Linked DNA regions of Lepisosteus oculatus. The protein of the gene in region 1 purifies or fractionates together with the protein of each later gene. This does not show direct contact. Links are inferred from orthologs where the notes say so. Each region holds a gene or a part of one and is shown in the gene's direction. Other genes may lie near its edges.

The links. The genes of interacting proteins can lie anywhere in the genome.
Region 2: the proteins of beta-galactoside-binding lectin-like (region 1) and fibronectin purify together in Homo sapiens (affinity purification with mass spectrometry; 3 studies listed by BioGRID and IntAct, with this or other methods). This does not show direct contact. The link is inferred for Lepisosteus oculatus from reciprocal best matches to the Homo sapiens genes LGALS1 and FN1.

Annotation. Positions count from the first base shown.
Region 1 is NC_090707.1:37,170,993-37,174,743, forward strand, and holds the start of beta-galactoside-binding lectin-like, read left to right. Parts: upstream 1-879; 5' UTR 880-966; coding exon 967-975; intron 976-3,751. UniProt on the Homo sapiens protein: Lectin that binds beta-galactoside and a wide array of complex carbohydrates. Plays a role in regulating apoptosis, cell proliferation and cell differentiation. Inhibits CD45 protein phosphatase activity and therefore the dephosphorylation of Lyn kinase.
Region 2 is NC_090707.1:27,125,706-27,129,456, reverse strand, and holds the start of fibronectin, read left to right. Parts: upstream 1-831; 5' UTR 832-1,012; coding exon 1,013-1,151; intron 1,152-1,658; coding exon 1,659-1,784; intron 1,785-1,962; coding exon 1,963-2,100; intron 2,101-3,521; coding exon 3,522-3,653; intron 3,654-3,751. UniProt on the Homo sapiens protein: Fibronectins bind cell surfaces and various compounds including collagen, fibrin, heparin, DNA, and actin. Fibronectins are involved in cell adhesion, cell motility, opsonization, wound healing, and maintenance of cell shape.

The DNA of each region.
Region 1 (3,751 bases):
GGATGATAAGTTCGGCTGTGTGGGGGCTGACCAAGGAAACTGTGAGCTCATGATTTGTCCCAGCACAGACCTGCAGAGCGCCAGCCGATTCGGGGTTTAATTCACGGGTTGGATTGAAAAGGGCAGGTGTGGTCACTGATAGAAATGCTCTCCCCTGAGTCAGTGTCCCCCCTTTGTGCGAGAGGGGGGTCCGATGTCCGGGCCGCTGACCTCTCACGCTTTTCGACCCAATCGGTCAGAGGAGCGCATGGCTCTGTGGCTCAGGATCTGCGCCGGTGGCTGGAAGGTTGCCGGTTCAAATCCCGCAGCCGGCAGAGGAATCCTACTCCGTTAGGCCCCTGAGCAAGACCCTTAACCCCAACAGTACAATGGCTGACCCTGCGCTCTGACCCCCAGGTTCTCTCCCTGTCTGTGTGTCTCATGGAGAGCAAGCTGGGGTCTGCGAAAAGACAAATTCCTCATGCAAGAAATTGTAAAGGGTTAATAAAGTGATGTTAATCTTAAAAAAAAAAACTCTCTCACTTCCGAAGACGGTTCAGCTTCCAGGGGATAGAACATATTCGCTCCCTCTGGTTCTCTGCGGGGATAAAAAAAAGACTATTTGCCGAGGCACTGAAGAAATTTGTTTGTGAGGTGTTGAACGCAAAGAGCACCATTTAAGACAGATGGGTGTTAATATGGCAACCGTCTTAAATAATAATCCTAAATGTGGATGAGGTATTTAAGACTTGTAAAGATAAATCTCTACGCTCTGACCTTGGGCGTAGTCTAGCTAAGCAGCTGCAATAAATTCAAGTGCCGTCTCCCTTCCCCCCCCCCACCCTCTTCTGATTGGTGAAGGAGCCGCGCGTCCCGCTCCAGCGGCCTCCCCATTGGCCAGGAGAGTTGTCAATCGCTCAGATTTCTCCTTATAAGGGGGGGCCCCAGCCCGGTGCGCGCTCGGTCCGGCGAGATAAGACGGTCGAGATGAGCGAGGTAAGTGTGCGTGCGCTTCAGGGAAACCAAGAAACTCTCGCTTCCGCTGTCAGAAAGTTCAAAAACGGGTTTTAGGGTAAAAGGCAGGATCAAAGCCTGCAGTGTTATTTAAGCGAGGAGGATAAAATAACTTATCTGAGCATTTTACCTTGTGTGTTGGTTAGCAGTCCAACCCCTTCACTCCTGTAGATGTAGTCTTGTTTCGTAATTACAGAAGTGTTTTGTTTTCCGTTGCAGAACTGAGTAAAACGCGCTCAAATCGTAGTCTTTGCACCGTAATCCGCATGGATCCCCATCTTGATTCAGTGACTCAGCTGTAGGGCCGGGTGCCAGCAGGTTAAATAACGGACACAAAATAATAATGATGCGACAAAAAAAAAAAAACTGAGCTGCCCTTCTGAAAGAACTAGGGAAAAATATGTTCCACAGTTACCTCCCAGAGCAGCCCGAAAGCGGGCTGGATTCATTCGGTCGGGGTGAGGGGGTTGAGGATAAACCGGCGCGCTGGCTGGACAGGCGAATCTGATCGCTCATGTCAGGAGTTCAGTGCATGAGCCAGCCGGGGTGTATTCGGGATAGATACTGCTCTATAAATGCAAGGAAGTCTTAGTGAGGATTAACGGACACGCAGAGAGAGACAGAGAGAACTGTCCCGCTTTCTAACCGGTTATTAAACAGACGCATTTCCAGCACCCCGCAGCCGGCGAAAGAACCCTTTGAGATGACGGGGGTGGGGGCGCACGGGTGTACTGTATGTGTGTAGTCCGCTGCAGGCTCAGCTCAGCTCAGCCCTGCTCCATCTGCGGCTTGTTCAAGCCGCACACCGCCGGCGGACAGCCCCGCGAGCTCCCGGAGCGCAGCGCAGCGCAGCGCGGGGCGCGTCCGCGCGGTCACGGCTGCTGCGGGTTCCGGTTCCAGGTTCGGCACGCGCCCGCACCAGTAGCCCGTGTGTGGGCGCCAGTAGCAGATGGGGCTCTCTGGGGACCGGACTGGGAGACCTGTTGCTTATAGGTTGAGGGGTCAACCTTCACCCTTTTTAAAAGACGGGGACTACTTATAAGCATTATAAGCATTACGTATTATGAAGTAGTTCAAGCAGGGAGCTGCGACGGCACACGAAGACGGCAAAGGAACAAGTAAAGGGTTCACACCCGAAGAAGGCTCCACAGCCGAAACGCTGTGTCTCCTTTCTTCTCTTTTCAACAGGGAATAAACCTTCCCTTGCAGCCTACTTATAAGCTGTTGGGGAACTCTGGTCCTGTGGGGTAGCTGGGTGTTCAGATCGTTTGTGTTCCAAATGATCACCGACTTTGGAAAATGTGTATGTGCCGCTTAGCATCTGTCCAGTTTCCGCCCTGTTCTTCCTGTTTCGTGGGTCGAAGTCCGCCTAGTCTCTTCAATCAGCCTATTACTGAGGGTCTTCCTGATCACCTAGCTTATCTGCATGGCTGTGTGGAGAGATTTGGGAAAGTGGCCATAGAGCACAGGTTACCCGCACGCTTCAGAGCAGGAATGCAGGAAGCTAAAGGTTTTAATCCAGCAACAGCTGACAAAATTCACACAAACACAGGGGCACTTTTCCTCTCAAACGCAATTTGAATGTTTTATCAGCTCCGTTTTAATGCTGTATCTTCCCCGAGATCGCGGGGCTCGGCTGGGCCCGTCCGGTACCGGGGTGCGGGACTTCCACGGTAAACTAGGGTACTGGTACGTGTGGTATTCACAGGGAGCCCGTAGGAGTCCAGTCTGGGATTGGACAATCAGGCCTGCTGGCGGCTTTCCCATAATTCAGCTCTCGCTTGCTCTCCTGATGGTCTTTGCGGGATCACTGCTGCTCAGTGAGGGTCCTTGTTGACGTTAAAGACTGGAGCTGGAAGCTGCAGATCCAAGAATCTCGCCCATGAAGGGTCTTGCCTGTGCTTAGACTCCCAGGACTAAGGAAAATGTCTGCTGCAGAACCTTGTCTTGAAAGGGCAGTCCTGTGATCTGCCAGAAGGAACAGACCAATGGCTGTTCAGGGATGCAAAGACTTAGTGACCTGAGGGGTGGGTGACCCTGAAGGCAGATCGCAGTTGCCAGACAAGAGGCAGCCATGTGGTCCTTCTGGCTCATGAGGTTCCTAGTAGCTCTGGGATCCGGTGGTAACCTCCTGCCGCTTCCCGAAAGAAGCCATGAGTGGGCAGCTTGTTCCACACTCCCACCACCCTTGGCGTACAGACCTGCGTTCTCAGGCGACCCCCGGGTCCTGTGATTTTAGACGGGATGAACTGATGGCAAACCTCATTTTGAGCACTGAGACTGGGGGGGGGCAGGGATTGGACAAGATGGTAGGCGAGTCTGAACACAGGATGGGGCTTTGAAGTGTCCTGCAGTGTCCCCCACTCCCCTCCCCCGGTCGGTGTTCGGTGACGCCCAGCCGACTCTTCCCAGGGCCTGCCCGTATCCGTGGGGTTCGGAACTCTCTCGCCCGAGTCCCCTCCAGTGAAGGAGGGCTGGGAAGGGCCTTCTGCCAAGAGGAGTCGGGCTCCGGCCAGACTCACGCGGAAAGAATGCGCTCTGCTTATCCTCAATCCTGCCAGAGTGCTCGATTTATTTATTTTTTTTAATTGTTTAATTCTGCCAAAGGCTGAACGTAACTCAAATGTTAACGCAAATGTAAACTTGCGTCATCCGATTCAAACAAAATCCCTCATCCGCCCACGCCAGCCCGCCCTCGAACCACACCCCAGGCTTCGCTTTCGGGGTTCCCCCCTCCCCTCCTCTCATTTGAGCTCTC
Region 2 (3,751 bases), about 10 Mb from region 1:
TAAAAGGTGGAGGCAATTTCCAGTATTGTTTAAATGGAGGAATTTAATTTATGTTTCTGGAAAATTTTTTTCTCGAAACCGAGTTACAATTTTCCCGGTGGTTTCAATTATTCCCATTATCTTGTAACGGTCATTTCAGGATTTGATCTTATATGAGCGTGGTTCATTATTTTAAATAAATTAAATTTAAAATGTATTCCATAGAATTAACCAGTTACTTCACAGTCGTATGCCCCTTTGTGTCTAAGGCTTGAAATATTTTAAAAATACGGGTACTTCATTTTTTTGTAAATCTCAACAGATTGGGACGTGACTACGTTTTTTATAAAAAATATCACTAAATACCTTTATGCGTGTTACAATAAAATGATGTAAAAAAAACGGTTAACCAGTACAGAAACTAAGAACAAAGCAGTAATGTAGACAATTTTATTAAGGCACCGACCCACATAAAAAACGAAAATAAAAATCACGCTAATACATGGACGACTTACGATGCGAAGACGTGAAGAAAATGTTCATATCTGATCAAATCTACTGTTGTAAAAACCTCGCTTTGCAATGATTCGAAATCATTGTAGATCACGTTTTACAGTAAAACCAACGAAAATAAATCTAACTATAAATTTCCAGTCTTTTCCCGAAATAATATATACTAATTTACGGATAACATACAAAAAATAACATTATCCCACTTAAAGTTGTTTGCAAAGAAAATGGTTACTCTTTTCGATGACGTAAGTGTCCGAAGTGGTCTGAAGAACCTAAGACCCTCCTCTTCTGGAAAACAGATTCCCCGTTAAATAAAAACCCTCCCTGGAGCAGCCCTTCTCCCATTCCGAAGAGCTGGGGTTTGGTGATTGCAAGGGAAAGGGTTCAGGCCATTTGTCTTGGAAGTTTAACCTTAGGAATTAGATTGGCCGAGTGCTGATCTTTTTGAGGTTACTTTTGCTAGGGATAGCCCTACAAATAACAGTATTCGTGTTCGTGCAAAAGGTTTCAAAACTATAGAATGACTTGTAGCCCTATGATAGGCTTAATAGTTGCGTTATGTTTCAGCAGTGTTGTCCATTGTATGCCCAAACATGCAACTAAAAGCAAAAGGCAGGCTCAGCAAGTAATCCCTTTCGACGAAGCATCGCTTTCTCAGGGTAAGCATACCGTTTATCCCTACCAAAACTGGAATTTGGGTTCTCGCTTTTTATTATTGTATACCATTAAGTTCGCAGTTTAAAATTTAAAGGAGAGGTGATTGACCTGAGTTTTATATGACGATTTATGTTTAATGCGTTGCAATTACTGTGTAATTGGGCAGTTGCTGTTTTTGCAGTTTTTCTATTCGAAGAGCAGTTTATAAAGTAATAGCATCTCTTTTCTAGTAACGTACAACTTTACAGTAAGAAAGCTTGTTAGTGTTAATTTTACGGTGTTACTTTTACTTTTCTGTTTTTTTTTCAGAAAAGTAGGCGTACAAGATGAAGTACCTCAAAACTACGTATTGCCCTGTTTCCAGAATCTTGCCCATAGGTCGACTAAGCTCGAGGGTGTTATTTAACAATAATATGAAAGGAACACTGCGCCTTAAATATCTTTATGGTATAATTGATGAGGGGGATATTTTAACGCATAGTGAAATTGATTTTTCTTTATCTTCTTAGACGGCTGCCTTGAGGGCGAACGATTTTTTAGAATTAACGAACAATGGGAGCGTCCGTACCTGGGCAGTACATTGGTTTGCACTTGTCATGGAAGTAGAGGAATTAAATGCAAAACTAAACCAGAAGGTGAGTTTGCAGGAAGTTACTTTTTCCATAATATAATTACAGTACACTTCTGTAAAACTGGAATTAGAATAGGATATTTTTTGCGTACATCAACACACGGATACAAGGAAAGAATAAATATCATCAGATGGTGCATTGTAACTAAACTCCTAACTGTTCAATGCTTGCTTTCCTGTAGCTGAAGAAACTTGCTATGATAAAATCAATGGACGGACCTATCGCGTGGGAGAAACATATGAGCGTCCAAAGGATGGCATGATCTGGGACTGTACTTGCATTGGTTCTGGCAGAGGAAAGATTAGCTGCACAATTGCTAGTGAGTTTCATGTGGACCACGGTGTTAAAGGTTTTTTGGGCATGTTGTTGACTCTAAAACTTTTAACTGAAATAACATGGACTACTCCTTAATGGCTTGATTTTAAATTAAATTATTAAATTTGTAGTAAAATATACTTTATAATAGACATTACATTACAAACCTTAACTGTATTTGTCCCTTTTATACCCTGTAATAATTTTATTTCTGTATCAAGGTGTTTAGTCTTGCTAGTCATTGTGAAGTTGAATGTATTAAAAAAACAAAGATACTTTGTACTACACACCAGAACCACATCTGTAATGTCTTTGAAAACATAAATATTACTAGATGAAGCTGTTTGGCCCACCTAGCTTGCTGTTAGTAGCAAAATTCAGAATTTCTCAGTAATTTCTTGTAAAAAAGACTTAGGTTCAACATCATGGATGGATTACTTTAATCAGACTCCAACAAGCCTTTGTATAAAGAAAAAAAGTGGTTCCCCTTTTCAATTTGAAATGTGTTTTTTTCTTTGTTGTTGTTTCTGTTTTCCCATGTTTCATGATTTACTACTGATTGTGAACCCAAAGTGCATTGGGTTGAATTTGTGCTTTGGTAGTCTTTTATGTTTAAGACTGAAAACATGCAGTTCTGGACTGATTAGCTTTAGAAAACTGTAATACTATCTTAAATGAAGTCTTAAAATTAAGTAAGCTTATAACAGCTGATGAATTCAACTCAAACATTTAGCTCTCTAACACTCTTGGCTTCACTTACTGCTTCCCTATATTTAGATATGTGTGTGTACTTTTACAGTTTCATAAGTATCTTAAATGTCAGTGTTTAATGTCTTAGATTATATTTTGTTGTGGATGTGAAATTGCACATCTGCTTTAAATGTCATGTCACCTGATTTCGCATTCCTCATTAATTTCTTCTGTAGCTTACACAGTAACTAACTCTCCTATTTTTAATCTGTGTTTTTTGCTGTTTTACTATAGCTATAATCTGAATACAGACCCCTCTAGTACTCCACTAATTATATCACTGTAATTTGAGCAATAATTCACCCCTTTCCTGTACTGTTTTCTGCTCAGCAACATGCATTAACTTGAGTGCCTCCCAACAGCAATTTAATAATTGAAAATAATCCTTTGTTGCAATGATGGTGTCTAAAGCTTTACTTGTAATAGGAGCATGTTTTATGGTCTTAAGTTAGTTCAGTTTTGTCACCATATATAGATGTTTTACATTCGTTTTCTTTATACATGTATGTTTACAGAACATACGTCTGAGAGCTTCCCTCTCTAACCTTTATGTGTATATTTACTGAGAAGCATTAGTTCTGATGCTCATTTTTTGTGCTTTTAATGCTTCAGTGTGTACATATATACTGTACATAGCAAAAGAGGAGCCTATGGCAAATGTCTTGTTTCTGACAGACCGGTGTCATGAGGGAGGACAATCTTACAAGATTGGAGATACCTGGAGGAGGCCACATGAGACAGGGGGCTACATGCTGGAGTGTGTTTGTCTGGGAAATGGAAAGGGAGAATGGACCTGCAAACCTGTTGGTAAGCAGCAGGAAAATAAACATTTCTGGTGGTTTGTAACATAATTATAATGTAGATGTAGATATCTGAAGTTTCCAATCCAGTCATGTTTAGTCTTT